Linked DNA regions of Lytechinus pictus. The protein of the gene in region 2 purifies or fractionates together with the protein of the main gene of each other region. This does not show direct contact. Links are inferred from orthologs where the notes say so. Each region holds a gene or a part of one and is shown on either strand. Other genes may lie near its edges.

What was found.
Region 1: the proteins of aurora kinase C-like (region 2) and serine/threonine-protein phosphatase 6 catalytic subunit purify together in Homo sapiens (affinity purification with mass spectrometry; 4 studies listed by BioGRID and IntAct, with this or other methods). This does not show direct contact. The link is inferred for Lytechinus pictus from reciprocal best matches to the Homo sapiens genes AURKA and PPP6C.
Region 3: the proteins of aurora kinase C-like (region 2) and ADP-ribosylation factor GTPase-activating protein 1-like purify together in Homo sapiens (affinity purification with mass spectrometry; 3 studies listed by BioGRID and IntAct, counting the BioPlex papers as one, with this or other methods). This does not show direct contact. The link is inferred for Lytechinus pictus from reciprocal best matches to the Homo sapiens genes AURKA and ARFGAP1.

The regions. Positions count from the first base shown.
Region 1 is NC_087259.1:23,573,178-23,580,553, forward strand, and holds the start of serine/threonine-protein phosphatase 6 catalytic subunit, read left to right. Parts: upstream 1-4,312; 5' UTR 4,313-4,404; intron 4,405-5,172; 5' UTR 5,173-5,235; coding exon 5,236-5,238; intron 5,239-5,715; coding exon 5,716-5,857; intron 5,858-6,761; coding exon 6,762-6,841; intron 6,842-7,373; coding exon 7,374-7,376. Other genes in the region: trichohyalin-like, read right to left, coding at 1-47, 383-451, 819-1,305.
Region 2 is NC_087246.1:50,027,350-50,034,407, forward strand, and holds the start of aurora kinase C-like, read right to left. Parts: upstream 3,016-7,058; 5' UTR 2,861-3,015; intron 1,009-2,860; coding exon 955-1,008; intron 315-954; coding exon 129-314; intron 1-128. UniProt on the Homo sapiens protein: Mitotic serine/threonine kinase that contributes to the regulation of cell cycle progression.
Region 3 is NC_087261.1:4,284,442-4,291,520, reverse strand, and holds the start of ADP-ribosylation factor GTPase-activating protein 1-like, read left to right. Parts: upstream 1-4,023; 5' UTR 4,024-4,240; coding exon 4,241-4,300; intron 4,301-7,079. UniProt on the Homo sapiens protein: GTPase-activating protein (GAP) for the ADP ribosylation factor 1 (ARF1). Involved in membrane trafficking and /or vesicle transport.

The DNA.
Region 1 (7,376 bases), on a different chromosome or scaffold from region 2:
TATCAGTCCGAAGGACTCCTGCAGCTTTGATTTCTTCCGCTTTTCCCCTGTTATGAAGTAGGTAGTATAAAATACATCGTAAATAAAAAAAAATCAATCAAATGTGATAGCGGTAAGAAAGGTATACAATCATTTTATTTCTTTCAACTTGTTACACACATACTTTTCTGTATTTGACATAAGGCATGCAATATCACACTTCTAATAGCTAATACAACAAATCAAGTGAGAAAACCTTGAGTTGCAAAAAAAAATCATACTGCATGAAAGCAACATCAACGGGATGTAAAAGGCCCCTTTTCTTGAAAATTTGCTGAATCGAATTCAAATATCATATGAACTATAAATAAGCAAATGTATGGAAACAATCTGTTTATATTACCAGTTGCCTTACGTCCATTAGCAGATGATGTTGAAGGTCCCTCTAGATCCTCCGGTGGAAAATTGCCAACTAAAGAAAATGAGGGATAGAAAAGCGATTACAATAAGTGACTACAATAATAAACATTTCATTTTTATGCATAAAATGAAGGGGAACTAATTTTTATGTTGTTATGTGTCACTGAAGTAAAAACATTTTAAAACAAAGGCTAACTTTCAATACATTTTTATTTTAGTAAATTCAAATCAGTTCCTTTCATATTACTCAGTATAAAATGATACATCAAGACAATATAATGATACCAATAATGTTTATTTTAAATGCTCACACTGAGAGGGTAAGAGCCAAAAAGGATTAGTCTTTATAATTACACATGTATATACAAATAAACATGTATATGTGATTACAAATGAAAAAAGGAAGAGGAATCCTTTACCCAATTCTGTTGGTGCTTCCACATCATTTTCCTCCAGTTCATCATCCGTTATACTTCTATCTTCTTCGGCTCCATCCTCCTCCTCCTCTCTCGGCAGTGAATCAGAGTCCACCGAGTCTAGCGACTCAGATTGATCCTCCTCCTCTGGTTGCGACGCCAGAATGGCAACTGGTGCAGTCTCTGGTCTGCCCCCAAAGATCTCCTGCAGTTCGCTATAGAATTTACATGTAATTCTCCCCCTGCCTGATCGATTGTTATTGTCCTCCGTCTTTCGGAAGGACGCTCTTAGTTGTTTAATTTTCCGCTTGATTTGGTCCTCTGCCCTTTCGAACCCCCTTTCTTTCATCAATTGGCATATCTTACGAAATACCGTTTTGTTCCTTACTGTGCCATCCATCTGTTCTTGAATGTTTTTCTCCCGCCAAATATTCAGGAGGCACAGCGTCTCCACATCTTCCCACAGACTCCCTCTCCCTGTTGGTGCCATTTTGATCTAAAATGAGAGAACAAATACAAATACAAATTAATAATGGTAACCACAAAGATTACGATGTGGTAAAATTATTATATAAAATTATGTGTAACATCTATTAATCACCTTTTAGGATTTTTGATCTTGTCAACAACTTCTCTTGTCAGGGGACAGTTGACATGAATATCATCAAAAATTCAAATTTAATGATTCAGATTGATCGACCACCTAGATATATGAAGGCCCTTCTCCCCCTGCTATGTAACATTTGATGATCGATGGACAAATTATTCCGCTAAAGTTCCATATGTACCCATCACTAAAATTGAATAAAACAATTGAAAAATATGGGTATGACTTAGAATGACATAACTAATATAAATAAAGTATACAAAATATGGGAAATCACTTTCTAAAATAACTATCTAGAAATCCATATAGTATACAAAATATGGGAAATAATATTCTAAAAATCTATCAAGTCCATCAAGATAAACTCCTACAGCTCGGCAACTAACACGTGGCCAGCCGCTGATCTCTGAATACCGGTGGAAGAAGAACTTATTCATACTTTATTTACAAGTTTCTTTTGTTATCATATCACGTGTTAATCTGTTAATGTATACAATTTTTAATACAATTTGCTTCTAGTGATAATTTTAGAGACGGTTTAATGATCATTTAGAGATGGTAGGCCTAGAGTGTTAATTATAGAGACAGTTAATACTATAATAGTAAGGTACGCAGAGTCTGTTACAGCTAGGGTTAGGGTTCGCAGACCCCGGCGTCCATCCTAGAGTACGCGGCCTCCTGATGACTTTGGTTGGTTAGGGATAGGACTTCGAAGTTAGAGTTGTGTATATTATTGTACTGTAATCTGTATTAACATTGTTTTATGCACTCACCGCTAGAATCTACTTATTTTAGTCTACTTCTTTTTTGTGGGGATTTTACAGGCAGACACTATTTTATATGTAGATCTAGACCCTACTCATTTGTTTCAATGTCTAGCGACATATTTCATGTCCAATTTCTGACTATGTGCGACTCCGACTGAGTGGATTATTGGCATTTGAAATAATTAATGGCAATTGTCTAGTTTCATGTCTCATGGCCTGGCCTGCCCCTGGCCATGCCTTCAAAATCAAAGTTAAATACTTCATCAAGTTCATGCCTCATGATCATGATGACTTTGTTTGAGGCATAAGATGATGTATTAACTCTGACAGTCTGACTCCGAGTCTGATGATGATGAGTCATAATTTCATAATCATATGAGAAAAATTATGACGGCTCATGATGTATGGCACTCCTGTCCAGGCTATTGTTTTTAGTCTGTCTATTAGTATTGATAAATTATCATCGCCAACAAAAAAATAATGATCATTCTTCAGATGGTGCAATCACAGTAGCGATGTATTTAAAAACATCGAAATAAACAGGAAATGATCAGACGATCGAAAATCATAATTCCCAAACCCACAGAAATATAGGGATGGGACTGAATTACAAGTCACCATCACTCATCAGTTCTGTTCGGAGAAAATACCAGGAATAAACGGTTTAAACTTTTAGCCCACCAGTACAGAATATGTCGTGTCTTAGTGCAGGCTGCTGGATATGAGGAAATTAAAATTTAAAGCAATAAATGATGAAAAACAATGTAATTTTACGCTCGGGGCGAGGCTTACCTATAATATATACTGCATGCCTGGTCCAAATGGCAAAAGCGCGCCCGGCCGATGCATTGTTGATGATGACAGGTCGCGTCACTTCCGCTTATAAGCCGGCGCCGAGTCCACTTTGGTGTTACACCTACCGATTGCGGGACTGAGTCCGGACTCGGGCCGGCCTCAAACCACATCCAGAGGTGGACTGAGTCCACCTGGCCTCAGTCCGGCCTCAGTCCGGCTTTTCAAAAAAAGTTGATGTTACACATACGTCGAGCCGCCTCCGGGGCCGGCCTCAGTCCACTTGCAAACGTATGTGTAACAGGGGTCTTATATTAACCATGATTTAGCAATATGTAATCGCCAAGTTATGTTCACCTATCACTTTTTATAGGCCCGTCCTAGACGGAACGTATATCACGCTCAATGTCCGTCCGTTAACTTTTTCTTGTAAACGCGATAACTTTAGTTTGACTTAACCTAGGCTCATATAATTTGGTGTATTATCATTATGATATATAGCATTGATCCCAGGAAGCCTATTGATTTTGAGGTGCAAAGGTCAAGGTTACAGTGACATATTTTCATCTTAACCTTCTGCAGTCCTTGTAAAGGAGATTACTTCAATTTTACTTAATCTAGGCTCATATAATTTGATGTGTATGTAACTAGCATGTAATTGTATCCCAGGAAGCCAATTGATTTTGAGGTCAAAAGGTCAAGGTCACACTGTCATGTTTTCATCTTACCCTTCTGAAGTCCTTAAGGTGATATTTAGTTTAACTTATTCTAGGCTCATATAATTTGGTGTGTATGATACTAGCCTAGATCCTAGGAAACCTATTAATTTTGAGGACAAAAATCAAGGTCACACCGACATGTTTTCATCTTTAATACCCTTCTAAAATCCTTCTAAACGCGATAACTTTAATTTAACCAAGGCTCATATAATTTGGTGTGTATGATACTAGCATGGATCCCAGGAAGCCTATCGATTTTGAGGTCAAAAGGTCAAAGGTCAAGTCGCCACCTTCCACTTTTCTTGCTTGACCAATAACTCCATTTTCCATTTTACAGACGGGCGTATTATGTGCTCGCCTTAAGTAGCGACACTCGTTTTCAGCTAAGACAAAAGGGGGAGGGGTGGTGAGATATTTGTTTTATAGGATGATATTTTTACAACCTTTCTACCTTGGACCCTTGTGAATCGGATGGGAATAATGGCAATAGCCATGTCTTTGTAATTTTTAAGAAAAATTGCTTTTCCTTGACCATGGGTACTTTTCTAAATCCCTGATTCTGCATTTGGTGTTTCAATCAAATTATTTCTCCACTTTTTGTTCCCCAGAAATTGTGTGATGTGGTATGTGACCTGCAGTTAGAGGAATGCAACGTTCAACCGGTATCAACTCCAGTTACAGTGTGTGGGGATATACATGGACAGGTAAATTTCTTGGGTATATTGCATTCACAACAACAAAAGTGACTCCAATTGACCAATGTTATGATATCCATATTTTTTTTCTTATTCGAAATAGAAATCTGAGAATTTAAAATAACATACAAGTAAATTTCATTGGTCTGTGGTCGGTTTTGTTGATGTAACTGTTACATTAGATTTTCAATTAGATGATAGCTCCTTGTTGGTCATACTTTTTCCCTATCCTTTTTTTTAATCTTTTCCTTTTCTTTCCGTCCCGTAATCTTTTCTGGTCTTTACCTTCCCTGTGTCCTTCTTTTCTTCCTTTCTGTCTACCTCATCATCTCCTTTCTCCTTGCCCCTTTCTTTTTCTGCTCATCCTTTCATCAGTCCTCCTCCTCCCCATTATCCTTCTTCCCCTCTTTCGCTTCTATTCTTCACCCTTCTCCTTCATCTTCCATCCTTGCTTGCACCATCCCATCTTCATTTCCCCCCCCCCCCCCACCACATCGCATAAAATCACTTTTAGCCCTTTACTGTATGTCCAGATATTAGAGTCATCATAACTGTGTTCTCAATGATGCTAAGAAGTAAGGATTTTTTTGTTTGCATGTATACATATCATAATTATTTTGGGAGTATTCCATTTAACATTTGCTTTTCATCTTTTTCAGACAAATCCAATTTATCGTGTCTCATAATTTTTACCTAGACACCATTTGTTTTACCATATTTCATTTAGTAAGTACTTGTTCATGTATTTTTATTAATATTCTTTTCCCCATTTCACAGTTTTATGACTTGGAAGAGCTTTTCAGGACTGGTGGTCAGATCCCAGATACAAGTTATATTTTCATGGTAAGAAATTCTTTTTTTATCACTTGATTGGGGGAAACTTATCAAGACATCACTGAGCTTTATGTTATGTGGACCCGATCTCGTTATTGATCAAAGTGCATACAACAACCCCCCCCAAAAAAAAAAAAAAAAAATTAATTTCAAGATGAAAACAAAGGTTAAAAAATCATTGTTATGAAGATTTTGATAGTTTGAAAAAAAATTAGGTAAAAAAAAAGGTAAAAGATAGGTAATGGCAATTTTATGGCTATTCAAGAAAGTCATTAAATTCCATCTATTTTGCTAATGAGGACAATGAATTGCATGGACTAATCTGACCATTCTGAGGTGTTGAATTATTATTTGACTAGCCCAAACTTGGAGTTGTGTGTCTGCAGTGCTTTGCAACCAAAAGGAAATGTGATATTTCTAATGACCATTGGATTGGATAGGACTTTTACTTTGTTTGATAAATCCCATCCATTCTTTCCCTTCCAGGGTGACTTTGTAGACCGAGGTTATTACAGCTTAGAGACATTCACTAGGTTACTCACACTAAAAGCAAAATGGCCAGACCGTATTGTTCTGTTGAGAGGGAATCATGAAAGCAGACAAATTACACAAGTCTATGGATTCTATGGTAAGCCATCTTTATTCCAGAGCCTGCCAACCATTATAAAAACAAAATGTATTTATGAAAATTTGACAGGAATAAGAAGGGGTATAACAAATTATGAATTTGTAGTTGAAAGAGAAAGAAGTATCAAAAAGAGAAGGCAAAGTTGTCAGTGTCATAGAAATACATGTATTGTCATATATTAACATGTACGCAAGGGCTGAACAGAAGACATACATTTATTTCAATGAGTTAGTTTTGGATGGAGTGCTTGCTATAGCAGAGGTTGTAATTCCTGGGCCTCGTCTTACAAGAGTTGCGATTGATCCGATCAACCACAACTATGGAAAGCCAGCAACGCCCATATCTAAAATGCATGTTTGTTCAAAATATTTTCTAGATACGATACATACCCTTTAATACATTCATCTTAGTCTTGACAATTTGTTATGCTTTCTCTTTGTTAACAAAGGACATTGTGCAAATTTCTGATAGGAAAAATTATGACAATGATGGATTTCCATATAGTTGAGGTTGATCGAATCAATCGCAACTCTGTAAGACGGGGCCCAGGTGCAAATCTCGCCGGATTAGACAACATAGTTTTGAGAGGCAGACTACTGTACAAAAACAATATGGCCCTTGAAATGGTGTTGTGTTTAATCCGGCTGCATCTTTGCCTGGTAGTCCTATACCTCCCTGCAAGTATCGGCAGAGGGTGACAGTTGAATGACAATTAAAAGTAGGGTTGATTGAAAAAATACACATTTTCATGGAGAAATAATGGATTAATTAGACCAACTGGTGTTAGACCAACTATTATTAGACCAAGGAGCCGTTAGCCCTTGTAGCTTCTAATTTATTTGTAGTGAAACATGACCAATGACATGTGAAAACTCTAAACTGCTCCCTTTTTTTTCATTTTCAGATGAATGTCAGACGAAATATGGAAATGCTAATGCATGGAGGTACTGCACCAAAGTCTTTGATCTTCTCACAATCGCTGCAGTAAGTTTCAAGTGAAGAAAATTGTTTTATTGTTGATGAGGTTGCCAAATGTGATGATGTGAATATATTATTAAATTGAAGAGATGATTTTTAGTGGGAGAGAGGGGATTTGAAGATAGGGTGACTTTTGCAGTTGGAATGAAACTTACTGCATTAATTGTTGTCAAGAGACAAAATGGTGCATGAAGACAAGAAACAAACGTGAATTGAAGTTTTATATGTATGTAGTATATTTTTGAGAAGATGTAAATTCCTGTAGAACAAAAGACATCTTTATAAAATGCAACATAAAAAATTGTACATTTTGTTTACGTTGCCAATGTGAGGATCTCCAAAGCATTTAGTGATCTTAAGTTCTCAATATTCAAATCCTTTATAACTTTGTGATTAATTTAATCTTTCTTAATCATCCATTGATCTGTTTTTTCAATTTTCAAGTATTAAGTTTTGGATGCAATTCATCTGGTTTCAAGAGTGTAATTCCATAAATTTAAATTTCTAATTGTTTATTGCTCCTTTGTGTCTTTGCAAGATC
Region 2 (7,058 bases):
AAGCTTGAGAGGTGGAAGGTGATTGATGATAGGAAGGGGACAGAAGAAGGGTCCATATGGAGTGTGGCAACAGGAGAGGACTGGGTAGGAGGTAGGAGGCCAGTTCTCTGATTATCTCCTTAACTCACATAGGAATTTTTAACAGTTGTGGCCTGAACAGTCACAGTCTGGGACTGGGACTGATAGACCGGCGGATGACCGACCGATGACCTAACGGCCTTAGTGGGTGTGGTTCTTACGTTTGAGCCGTTTGGCTTGAGGATCCGCTTTGGTCCTGCGTTGGCCCTTGGTACACTAACGGGTGTCATGTGTGCCTGATGGAGAGATAGAAATTTGACAACATGAATGAAAAGATAAAATTCCAAACAGAATTATACAAATTCATATATTAATTACTATGGAAAAAATAAAGGTTTAATTTAAATCTTGGTATAAATCCCAATGTAAATGGAAATTCAAATTCTAAACAGTAGTGACTTAATTTATAGGCACATTTGACTTAGTTTTCTTTAACATTTTAGCATGATTGATTGAGTCTACATGAAACATACATGTAAGAATGTTACACTACAATTAAAAAAAAAAGAAAAAAAGAAATGGATTCCAATAATTTGGCAGAGACTAAAGACTAAAAACATACCCTAAATTAAACCGGACTTTAGTGTATTGCCCAACGTGTTGGTGTGTCATACTCATACTGTGATGATTCGTGTGCATAAAAAGTCAGTCACAAAGACACAAACTTAATCTTATCACTTAGCTTGCATTCAATAAGAAATCAAGTATGTGCACATGATTGCACTTCAAATTTTATGTAACTATAACCATAAGGAGTGCTTTTATTGGTTGAGACATGTACATGTACTAAGAACAACATCTTGAAACAAAATAAAATTAAAAACATTTTTTTGTCTTCAAATTTACAAGAAGCTGGGGGGAAAATGGTAAACAAACCTTTGATGGCATGTGGGCTTGAGAAGAATTTTCTTTGCCATATTCTGAAGTCATCTGTGTTAATAAAATAATGAAAGACGTGTGTGTTATTGGTAAGAATGGTTTGGAAATGTCTCCATATAGGCTGCCATGGGTACCTTTGAGGTTGGGGTACCAAAAACACCCCAAATTAAAGAGAAAAAAAGAAAAGAAATCATACACCCACCTTGGATGAAGGTCTAACGGACTGCATGAATCCTTACATCAAGGCAGTAGCCAGACCCTCAATAAAGGGGGGGAAAATGGCTGTGACCTGTGTTCGTTCACTCACTTTCAAAATTGCAAAGAAAACTGTCCGATAGATATACCAAGGGCACATGCGCAATATAGACTCTGTCAAATTCACGCATGCGCCCTCGGTATATTGATCGGACAGTTTTGTTTGTAATTTTGAAAGTGAGTAAACTGATGCGGCCTTTTTTGAGGGTCTGACTCCTGCCTTGATGTCAGGATTCATGCAGTCCATTGGCATTAGCCCTTCATCCATAGAATTGAGGTGGATGCATGATTTCTTTTTTTCCCCTTTAATTTTGAGTGTTTTTGGTCCCCCAACGTCGAAGGTACCCATCTTAGTTGTTAACTGTGGCAGCCTATGGCTATCTTCTGGGCTCATGCAGGCCTGCTCTGGGTTAAATTAGTATAAGTTTTCATGTGAATATAAAGATTTTTATCAATCATATGAGATTTTCTCAATGATCCTGAGCTGTTAATACATGTATTTCTAAATCAAGCAAATGTGATTTGATCTGATGTTGACATGCCCAATCATAAGTCAAGTGGAGCACAGTCGATATTGGAACCAAAAAGAGGTGTTTTTTTTAAAGAATAATATCTTCCATTTTGGAATTTTGTCATTTGGTATTAAATCTGAGAGACAGATTTCGGTCCTAATGCAATGTAGGCCGACTTCGAGCAAATTTCCCCATCAGAAATTGTTCACAAATGTCATGGCTAGTCACTCAGTCAAATTTCAAGGTCAATAAACAATAGGCCTATATCTAGTTATCTACCGCTTTTCCAAATGTCGTGACCGGGAACCACTGTATTTCAGCTCATATCTCGACGTTATCGTTCAATTCTCAGTCAGACATCGCTTCACTTCATTTTGGGTAATTTTGATATGGATGAAGTTAGCGACCAAAAGATTTGTCCGTGGCAGCTCACAAGGCTGAAGCCAAGCGAAGTCTGACTGAGAATTTGAACGATGACGTCGACATCGAAGGCGAAATACGGCCGTTTCCAATCGCGATATGCAGAAAAAACGGAGGGCATATTGACCTTGAGACATGTGTTTGTGAGATGTGATTGGACAATAAAAAACAAAAGAAATAGAATTACTCAATTAGTGAGCATGGTGAGTGAGTGACATCATCGACTCTCAGTCTCATTTATCACTGAATTGAGCATAGAACTGTTTTGTGAAAAATAAGCGAAACTTTCAAATGTCGTAACTTTCTTATTTTAGTTTTTTCATCCGTTTTTTTTAATGAAGTTTTCGGCGTTATTATTCATGTTTGATTTTCTCTATTTATTTAAATTAACTTTTTTATTGGGTGAACTTGACCTTTAAGATCAACACTTATTACAAAATATAAGCACCACTGGCACAGTCTGAGTCAATCATAAGCATGTCCAACATAACAACAAACCAACGGCATATTAAATACATGGCAATGTCTTTCTCTAATTAAAGACTCTATATCGCAATTCGCATCGCAGGGCATGCACTATAGCGGACCCGTACCGGCAGTGCAGTGCAGCGCGGCGATGCAATCTCACACAACTTCACAAGTGCAACTACACTAAATTCAATCAAGACTCAACCACATAAAACACGTCTGTTTCTCGACTAATAACAATAATTTACCTCGGAAATGACGAACTGTGATATTGGCTAACAGAATGATGAACTTCACTTGAAAAAAGCCCTATAATATTGCAAATGATGAATATCTTGATAGGGATTTTCGCGGAAAACTCGATCACACAGCTCAATGACAACAATGCGGCTGGTTGGTTTCCTTTTAAATTTCAAGCCAAAATCGCGCAACGCCATTGGCTGACACCGCTTCATGACGTTTTTAGGGACTAGGTGCTACACAAGGCCTGATTAGATTTTTTTTAGTTGAAATAACATTTTTTAAACAATGTTTTTCGGAATTTCGGCATTACTCCTATGTGTTTTGATCGCATGCTCAATTAAATAGGGGGGAAATAAGCCCGCTCCTCGATCCCGCCGCCTCCTCCTAGCTTCTTCTCCTCCTCCCAGTGGCGTAACAGGCGGGGGTGGCAGGGGGGAAATTAAGCTGCCCCTGGCGGATATCACCGGGAAAATTAAAAAAACGGGAAAAAGGGAAAAGGGAGAAAGAGAGAAGGGGAACGGGAAAAGAAAGAGAGAGAGAAAAAAAGAGGAAAGAGAAAAAAGGAAAGCGGGAAAAGCCGGAAGAACATTTGAGAAAGAACAAAATATCCCGAATTAGCATGATTAGCAAGAGGGTGATATGAAATAAAAAGATATGACTCAATGGCATAGGCAAGAATTAATGGCTGGGAAATTGGAGAAAGAGGCAAAAGGAAACGGGAAATGAAGGAAGAGCCAAAAGCTAATTGAAAATCAGAATATGAAGAAAAGGGACATGAAAAAAAAGAAAGAACTTAATAACACGACCGGGCTGCCGAGGATTGAAAAATATAAAGAACGGGAAGAAACTAGGATGCAATAATGGTAGCTCGCTGGCTACTTTTTAAAAACAAATTTTACCACATTAATATTTTGCTATGTTGTCCTGCTTCAAAATATTTCGTATATTTTCCGCAATTGCTTTGAAGTAATGTGGTGTATGTACCCGCGTTTGATAAAAAATTGCCATCTGCAATGTCATGAGGTTCAGGGGGCTCCGCAGTGACGGCACCGAGCGGGAGGCACGTGGGCATTTACCCCCAGTGAGTTAATGAGTTGGCCCCCACTTGCCCCCCTCCCGAAAAAAAAGAAAGTTGTATAGTAAATGTTGTCCTAAGCAACCTATTAAAGCTGCAAAGTGCTCGAAACAGCTTTTTCGTTCTTTAAATTTTGAAAATTTCCCATCCATTCCCTGTTAGCTCCCAACAATCATGTCAACACAATTCTTTCAGGTCATCATTATATAAAATTCAAAATTTCGCTCGCGCTTGCAGTAACTGTTGACTGAGATAAGTAAATTATCTGTTCACATGGGGCATAAAAATCCAGTGTTCAAGTCAATATAATGCTTCTCGGAATTAAAGTTTTCATTATTCGTTTTAAGCGAGATACACATCCTGCGTATCATAAGTTTCATTTATAAATCAAAAGTTTTCGGCTCGTGCTACGCGCTCGCAGCAATAATTGTTTAGTTAGATAGCCATCCGATTCATGATAAAAAAAAGTGCTTAGAACGTCGAGAGTATCATCTCATCAGGATATAAAAAACTTCAGCTCGCGCTTCGCGCTCGCATTATTCATTATTTTGGTGAGAGTCATGATCCAGTGCAAGCATAGTCATTCACAGGTCCCTCTTCAAGTCAGTATAGTGCATTCCTACATTGAAAAAAATAGCTCACGCTTAATTCTCGCTCGATTTCGTGAAATAGGCAAAAAAATTGTGTTGCCCCCCCATGTTTTTTTGCCTCCCTTTAGGTTAAAATTCCTGGTGCCACCTCTGCCCCGGACCCAATCCGCATAGCACTGGCCCCCAAAAGTTAAACAAAAAAGAAAAGATGAAAGGAAAGGGAAGATGTAAATTATGATGTTATTTTCTGAATACCTTTTCAAAATCAATCTCAAAGTTAGATTCTCATGAAAAGGTGATTTTTTTTCTCGCTCGCTTCGTTCACTCGGGGCTTATATATTAAGCAACTTTTTGCCGCGCGCGCCATGCTGTGCCCCCTCTTTTTGTACTTAATATCACGCATTAAACTCTAATGCTCTGGCACAATCGCAAAAAATCCTGTTCATAATTATATACCATGATATGACCGGGAAATTTTTGGCTCTTGCCCCCCCCCCCCCCACCCCACCGACCCCTGTTACGCCCCTGTCCAAGATCTGAGCAGGGACATTATCCTGATCTATCCAGGCTTATCAAATGATAAACTTTGGCATGTTCAGAAGGGTGAGGAACATAAAAAATATACATTTTTATGATTGATAGGGAATAATGCACCAATTTGAAAGAAAATATAGATAAGTGATTAGTACATTAAGATGAACATTGAATGGCAAACTACAAGTGTGTTGCACTATGCGAAAGTGAACAGTAGCATTGGAAATTGACTTTTGTTTTCATTAATAAAGGTATAAAACTTGACCTCAAAACAATTATTTTAAAAAAGTAATGCAAACAAGAATGCAATACTGTTGGAATTCGGCATGGAACAGAGTCGACCTGTTCTCTCTATCATTATGCATTCTCCATTATCAGACTTGAGTACTGTTGTTGCCCTTCTGAATATTATTTATGAGCCTGGTTAGATCAAAAAGTAAATTTCCCAGGTCAGATCAGGGAAATCCCTCATCAGATTCTGAATGATCAAAGTTGGTTGATATGCTTGGACGATGCAGAACGCACAGTGGTATCAGTGCTGCATGTATATGGAAAATTAAAATGGGCTGAAAAGCACCACTGTTATGATGTGTATTCAAAACCGCTGAAGCAAGACCAATTAAATTGTTATTGAAGTTAGGATATTAAATGGGCTTTCTAGTTCCACATCTTTAAATGAGAATTATTTTTAATTTTGGAATTAATAAAGCCGTATATCAGAGGGACATTTCCGGGGACGCGCTGTATATATACGCATCTTGATCAGGATCACAAACATTGCCCAGAATGTTCAATTTTCAGGACAAAATCATACATGAAATTTCCAAAAATTATAAATAGGGCTTATGAGATTCTTGTATATTTATGTTGTTTTATAAGAATAAAGCTAAAAGGTGATTATATAGTACCTCCTCCTTCAAATAAAGAAACAAATTAACTTTGAGTGGCCGATGGGGGAAAATATGGGAGAAAAAATTCGCCCCCTATATATCTGCCTATTGGCGAAGGCTGCATGGATCCGTCCCTGTTCTTCTCCTTCTCCTCCGGCCTTCTTCTTCTTTCTTCTTCTTCTTAATTCTTCTTCTTCCTCCGAAGTCTTCTTCTTCTTCTTCCTTCTTCTTCTTCTTCGATCTACTTCTTCTTCGTCGTCTTCTCCTTCTTCTTCCTCTTACACCAGGCGGAGGTCTGTACGTACTTGAGGAGATGAAGATGAATTAGAGTCTACATGACAAAATTATAGTATTTTCATCAGGGGCGTCAAAAGAACATTTGGGGGCGGGTCAACACACAAATATTTTGCCAATTTCTCAACTCGAGCAAGAAGCGCGATGTATTATTTTTTTTAATGTAGACCCTATACTGATTTAAAAAAGAGACCTGTTAAGGACCAGCTGTTTGCATTGGGCCATGGAGATGATATCTCACCAAATAAATAATGCGAGCACGAAGCGCGAGCTGAAAATTTTTGACATCCTGAGATGATAACTGGACGTTCTATAAGCACTTTTTGTAATCATGAACTGGATGGCTATCTAATCAAACGTTTAATGCGAACGCGTATATAGCGCGAGCTGATTTTTTTTTATTTATGAAAATTATGAGTATAGGCAGGTTGCGTATCTCGCTAAAACGAATAATGAAAATTCTATTCGCGAGAACCATATTGACTTGAACATTGGATTTTAAAGCCCTATTTGAACAGATAATTTACTTATCTCAGTCAACAGCTACCGCGGGCGTATATAGCGCGGGCGACATTTTGAATTTTATATAATGACCTGAAAGATTTAGTGACATTATTGGGAGCTATACAGTGAATGGATGAGAAAATCTTCAAAATTTAAGGAACGAAAAAGCTGTTTTGGAGCACTTTGCAGCTTTAGTAGGATGCTTATGACAACATTTACTATACATTTTTTTATTTTTCAAAATTTCGGGGGTGGGGCCAACTCACTGGGGGAAAATGCCTTCCGTGCCTCCCCCTTGGTGCCGCCACTGGTCTTG
Region 3 (7,079 bases), on a different chromosome or scaffold from region 2:
TATCACCCATATTGCTGCATTGAAAAAGTTTGTATTTCAAAGTTGATTTAAAGATCATGTGATGTTAAATTAGGATGGCAATTAACAACAAATTTGTCACTATCAGTATGACTATAGTATGAGACCCTGAACTTTTTGGTATAACCATGTTCATTGAATGAGTGGGTATTGAAGAAAACCCACCAAGGAAAGAGTTCCTCTTGTGACAGCCACCCAAAGTAACTAAAGATTGTCAAGAATTCCACCTGTTCCGGTTTATTCACTTCCTGTTTCTCCATTGTTTGCTAACCCATATGGGTGCGTGCGGTCAGACTCGGCCCAGCCGCCCAGCCCTCGGCCGGTCCGCGTCCGGGCACTCGACTCTAATCTCGGCTCAGCTGCGTCGCGTCGGCCGCTAATATAAGCCTACATTACAATCACATCCAATCCGAAAAGATGAATACTTATATTGACTGAATTGTACGTAAACATGTAGAGACCATTATGTAAAATATTACCTTTATTATATCACAGAACAATTGGCGTTAAAATACAAGCAAAGTTCATCTAAAAAGTGGAGCGGCTTCAGCAGCCTTAGGCTTAGCAGACTCTTTTATGTTTTCCAGAAAGTTATGGTGGCGCTAAAAGTATTGTTTTTGCTGAAATTCCCCGGTGTCAAGTTCAATCCATCTGTCAGAATTATAATACAAAAGAAAAAGGGCTAAAACAAGAAAATTCATTGTGTTATTGATTAAGATAAACCCCAATTGTTTTTTTCTTTATTTCATCATGAAAGTCGGCGGGTTTCGATTCCCGGCACGGCCCTTGACCAAGGCATATATTTCTATTAACATATTGCTTTTAAAAAAAATCTTGCATCAAATAAAGCGAAAATGCTTTATTTTTATTATATTCATAATCAATAACAGACTTAAAATGGGTGAGAGTTTTCCTCCTCGGATATCTGACAAACAAGCTTAACACAGGGGCCGCTGAACGGTTTTCAAAGTTGGGGGGGGGGCCGGCTGAGCCAAAAGTGGGGGGGGGGGCTGACCATGCTAAAATCACAATCATATGGTCATTTTTACATTTTTGTACACGGTTTTAGAAAAAAGTGGGGGGGGGGGGCTGAAGCCAACCCCCAAGCCCCCCGGTTCCGCGGCCCCTGTAACACTAGAAAAAAATTCTATTTTTATAGAAGTTTTTTATATATATTAATTCAATTTATTCAATTCAATTCAATTCAATTCAATTCAATCATTTTATTTTCCACTTTCAATTTCATATTTACAATTTTTGATACAATTGACATAGTAACATATAATCACATTTGAAGTACATACAAAAAATTGATAACATTGTAAAATTACAATAGACAATTATCAAATCGAAATATAAATAATTGAAAGGGAGGGAGGGCCAACTGATAAGCAGAGCTTGTATAATGTAGGCCCCCCTAATGTTGTAATTACGTGTTTATAGCAACTGAATTGCTCTTTTGTAAAAACAAACAAACAAACAAACAAACAAACAAATAACAATATTTACATTATGTAATATAAACATTATTATACAAATCATATGCATCATATTAAAAAATATATGAATCACTCATAGTGTATACAAATTATTAAAGGTTTCCTTCTTAGCACTGAAGGCTTAATTTGTAATTGATGAATTAAATATTTAGTAATAATTCAGGAGAAATGATTTAAGTCGTTTTTTGAACATTTGTATAGAATTGCTTTGTTTTATATCAATTGTAAAAGAATTCCATAGCTTAGGACCCATAAAAATAAACGTTTTTTGAGCAAATGATGTTCTGTTCAGTGGTAAATGAAAAGAGTTTGCTTGGCGTGTGAAGTGACTATGAATCGAACTATTTTTAAAAAACATATCAATTAGAGGCATAGGTAGTTGTTTAGTATTAAGCTTGAACATAAACTGTCCAAGTTGAAAAGTGTACAGTTCTTTAATTTTCAGAATTTTATTTTTCAAGAATAGATTATTTGTATGTGCCCGGAAATCTGCATTATTTATTACACGAATAGCTCTTTTTTGCAATATCAATAGTCTATCGATCAGCCAAATTGTTGCATTACCCCAAGCAATAAGTCCATAATTTAAGTAATTTATTACCATTAATTCAATTCATTCATTTATTTTTGTTTGTTTCTTCATTCATCCACTCACTCATTCATTCATTTATTCATGATTGATTCTTTCATTCATTCATTCAGGGGGGGGGGGTGATAAAGTATATGGTTTTGGTCTGATAAGGTGGATCGGCAGGGGGGGGGGGTGTTATGCATTCATATGCATACGCAATATTTTTTTCCTTTTCTTTCTTGTCTTTTTTTCAATGTCAAATTTATTTTGTATTGCAATGGAAACTATTTTAATGTTTTTTATGGAAAAAAAATGAATAAATAAACAAATAATTAATTAATTTATTTATTTATTCAATCATTCATTCCTTCCTTCATTCATTATTCATTCATTTCATTTTCCCAGACGCGGGAGCTCTGCATTCAGTACATTAATGAACTTCTTAAAGGGCATGTCCGACCCTTACAAACTTTTATTTGAATACAAAGGAAAAATCAAACCAGCATAATACTGGAAGTTCCATAAAAATGGGATCGATGTGAGATAAGAATTAATTATTTCACCTTATTTCACAAAATAGTTATATATGGTTATATTCAAATAAGGGGGCCGATGACATCACCCCGGGCATCACTGTACATCCGTTTCTTTTGTATTTTATTACATGAAAATAAATAATATGAAATAGGGCCTATTTCAATTTCATCATCCTCATTGAGTTTGACTCCTCCCTGAACATGAGGAAATACCATTATATTGTTACCTTTACCCGAGATTCTGGAAGAGTGCCGTTGTGAGGGTCCTAAATCTGTAAAAAAGGAAAAATAATAAATAAAGAAAATAATAAATAGATAATTAAATAAATAAATGAATGAATAAATAAATAAATAAATGTAAAAAAAAAAAAAAATCATTATTCGAACCAAATAAAAAAAATAAAAGAAACGTAAGTGATTGACATCGACTCTCTCATTTATCACTGAGTTGTGCATTTACTGTTGATGTAAGTGAAAGTTTAGAATATCATATAACTTTTCTTATTTTTCATCCAATTTTGCTGATTCTTCAGCGTACTGCTTGCTTGAGTATTCTCTAAGTTTCTGGGGTGGACTTGAACAATAGGCCTACCTCGAAACAAAATAGAAAACATCATAAAAGGGTACGTCCATCTCAAAACTAAAGAGAGAGGAAAACAAAAACAAGTGATGGGCCTATACTAAACGAATGTCGGATGTAAAATAAAATGTCACTGAACAGTTATACAGTTATGCACAACTCATGCTTGGAAATATATACACCGGTATTCAAATGTATAGTGAATTGGGAAAGACAATGATGTCACTCATTATTTATTGTGTATTTTATTGTTTTAGTTCTTTCTTGAAATATAGACAGATAGATCTTTATCTAGTTAGATAGATAAATAGATATAGATAGATAGAGAAAGAGAGAGAGAGAAAGAGAGAGAGATAGATAGATAGATAGATAGATAGATAGATAGATAGATAGATAGATAGATAGATAGATAGATAGATAGATAGATAGATAGATATATAGATAGATAGATAGATAGATAGATAGATAGATAGATATATAGATAGATAGATAGATAGATAGATATATATATAGATAGATATATATATAGATAGAGATAGAGATAGGGAGATAGAGGGGAGAGATAGCTAGCTGATGAGATAGATAGATAGAGATAGATAGATAGATAGGTAGGTAAGTATAGGTAGGTATGGGTAGGTAGATATATAGATAGAGAGAGGGAGAGGGGGGATGGAGATAGCTGATAGATAGATAGATGGATGGATAGATAGATAGATAGATAGATAGACTATTCTGTTTACAAGAAATTACTCCATAATCCGCGCTGGGGAATCCACCCCATGCAGTGTAGATCTCTCAACCAGGTCTGAATTAAGGCTAGAAGGATAGGAGATTAAAGACTGGTATCAAATCTTATTCTTCACTCCGTTGTTCGTTTTGGTATCCTAATGTCACAATTTTATTTGAAGATTAGTTTATTTTCTTCTCATTTATCCATCATCCACGTAAACGCCGATTGCCGGTGCCGCAAAGTGACGATTTGAAGAAAACAACACAACTAAATTGATGAAATTTTAGGTAGATCTCAAGACTGAATATGGCGAGCCCTCGAACACGGAGAGTGCTAAAAGATTTGCGTCTAAAAAATGGAAATAACGTGAGTAGACTTCGTGTGTTTACTATCATTTATGGACGGTAGTGCATGGATTGATGGCCGTGGCTTGATTCTCGCCAAAGAGTTCGGCTGCGAAGCGGCGCGGCGGAGCTTCAGCTTGTGGTCTGCTGCGACCAGCAGCTGCTCTCTGGCGTAGCTTTTTTGTGGAATTGTGCTGCTGGGTTAATTACGCAAACATTAACAAGTTAGTGCAATGTTAGACCGATAAAGGTATATTTCTGTCAGGGATATGCTCCGCTGAGCCGAAACTTTGTCTGGCTCCGCAGTGGCAGCCGTCTGTTTCGAAATTCGAGGACTTTTTTAACATTTGAAATTGTTTAATTAAATTTCCTTGTAGAACTAGAAATGTAACTTTTTTTTTACTATTTTAGTACTAGTAGTACACAGACGGCTCGCGATTGTGCAGCCGCCATTTTTTTACTAGGAATAGGAGGTTAATTACATGCAAAATTCCCCCAACAGGGCTCATCGATTTTTGTCTTTAATTATAAAAAGAACTGGACGAAAATGAAGATTATTAATATTATTCCGTTTTGGCCTGAAATGCACCAAAACGGGAAAAAAAATTAAAAGGAAGAAAAACCAGTGACTTAGTCTTAGATCTACTTCGGCTGTGCACAACTCCCACTTCCCTGGTTTATCCGAACTTTATACATGTACATAAACATGGCCATTGAGTCCCTGAACAGATCGAGTTAGAACTTCGGTCTCTGTAATTGGTGAGTGCATGGAGCCAACAGAGTTCAGCGGAACAACCAATATAACAGAGACCGAAGCTTTTGGTCTAGCTCCGCGGCATCCCCTCCGTCAACAGACCGATGTCGATGAGGGCCATTTGCAGAACTAATGTTAGTCGAGGCTTGGTTTGGTTTGGCAATGCAGCATGGCACACTAGTTTTTCAGCACTGCACAAAGTACGAAAATACTCTACCCAGAGGTCTGTACTACACCCGGAAGAAGAAGAAGAAGAAGAGGCGTTGGTCAGAAAATTGGGATCGTCCCAGTTTACAGGGACTGTCTCAGTTTTCAAAGATTTCTCCACACAAGAAATCTAGGAAAGTTTATTCACCTGTCAAGTGTTGACAGCCTGACACCAATCAAGTGCGCTATTCCATATAAATATATGATTTCATTATCAGGTTTCATAACAAGATTATTGGAAGACGGCAAGTCATAAAAAATAGATGGTGAACTGGGGGGTATTGAGGTCACTGAATCTATTTTTTAGCACTCTCAATCCCGGTAATTACCATCTATGTCCCACAGGGTTAAGTGAAAAAAAAAACGTCCCCATATACAAGGAAAATCTCAATTTATCAAGACATGATTTGTCTTTGTTTATATCCTTGCATTCTGGGAAATCCAAATTTTTGGACTAGAATATTGGTTAGAATATTTACCACAAATTAGTAAAAGTTAATTTGTTCAAATATTAAAATCGACATAGTTTTAATCATTTGTAAACAAAGTGCGTAGCTTTAGGTCCCCCCTGGGGGTCACTCTCCACATGGACTGCTACCCACCCGTGTCCAACAACCTCAGAAATGCACCCTAAATGGCGTTATGACATTAAGTAAATTTGCAACCCTAAATGGCGTAACCCATGAGAAAAGCCACCCTAAAACAGGAAAATCCCCTAATTTGAAACCCTAAGTGGCGTAAACATCAAAATCAATGTTATACCTGTGGGTGTGTGGGTAACGCATGCTGCCTAGTAAGTATAGAGCCAGGTGTAAGAGACTAGCTAGAACTGTACCGGGAGGGGGGGGGGGGGTAACTCTCATCATGGATCTAATAGTAACCCGGAATAGTAATAGGTCCATGCTCTCATAAGTGCTGCTCTGGCTGCGCCGGCGTGTGGGAGGATTATTTTGTATCCCTTACAATCGCCTTTCATGGTGTTTATGGCTTATGTCTGCTCCCGGGTCCCCTCAAATTTGCCCAAATTTGCACCCCTAAATGGCATAATTTCCCGCATAATTTTCATAACCAAATTAGCAACTATTGTATCGTGACCTATCAGTATTACCTTAAGTTAACTGTAATTTACGAGAATCTATGGGCTAATCTGACCTTAAGATATGGATCTCGCGTCGGATTATGGCCTGGCACGAAGCTTGAGTTGCACTGGTTGAACTTGAAGCTAGTTGCAGAGCGCTCTGGTCCTTGCTGTAGCGTAGCTAGCTGCCGGGGTATGGTGCGTCCTCAGGCCAGTAGTACACGTTCAGCGGTGGATCCAATTGACTCATAATAACACATAACTAAAATGCGTCTTAGCTTATATAGGGGATGGGACCCGTGAGCCGTGACAAGATACCGAAATTATATGGCCCGCCAATAGGGAATACATGTATATGTGTGTAATGCTATGGACAGCGAATAGGGAAATTATAAAGGAGTGCTTGTCTCTACACTTCTCCCAATCTTATTGAGGATAGATCTTATCTAGACTTATTAATTAACTTAACCTAACAAATAACCCTTAATTCTAAAGAATATTGGATACAAAACAGGTATCCCAGCAAACTATGTGGCCCTACTATGTAAACATATATAGATACAGTTCTTGCTTTGTTCATCTTTTCTTTTCTCATCATCTTTTTTTTTTTTCTTTTTCTTTTTTCTTTTTTCTTTTATCTTCTTTTCTTCATCTTTTCTTCTTTTTTTTTTCTTCATCTTTTCTTTTCACATCTTTCTTGTCTTCTTTTTTTTTTTTTTTCTTTTTTCTTTTATCTTCTTTTCTTCATCTTTTCTTTCATTT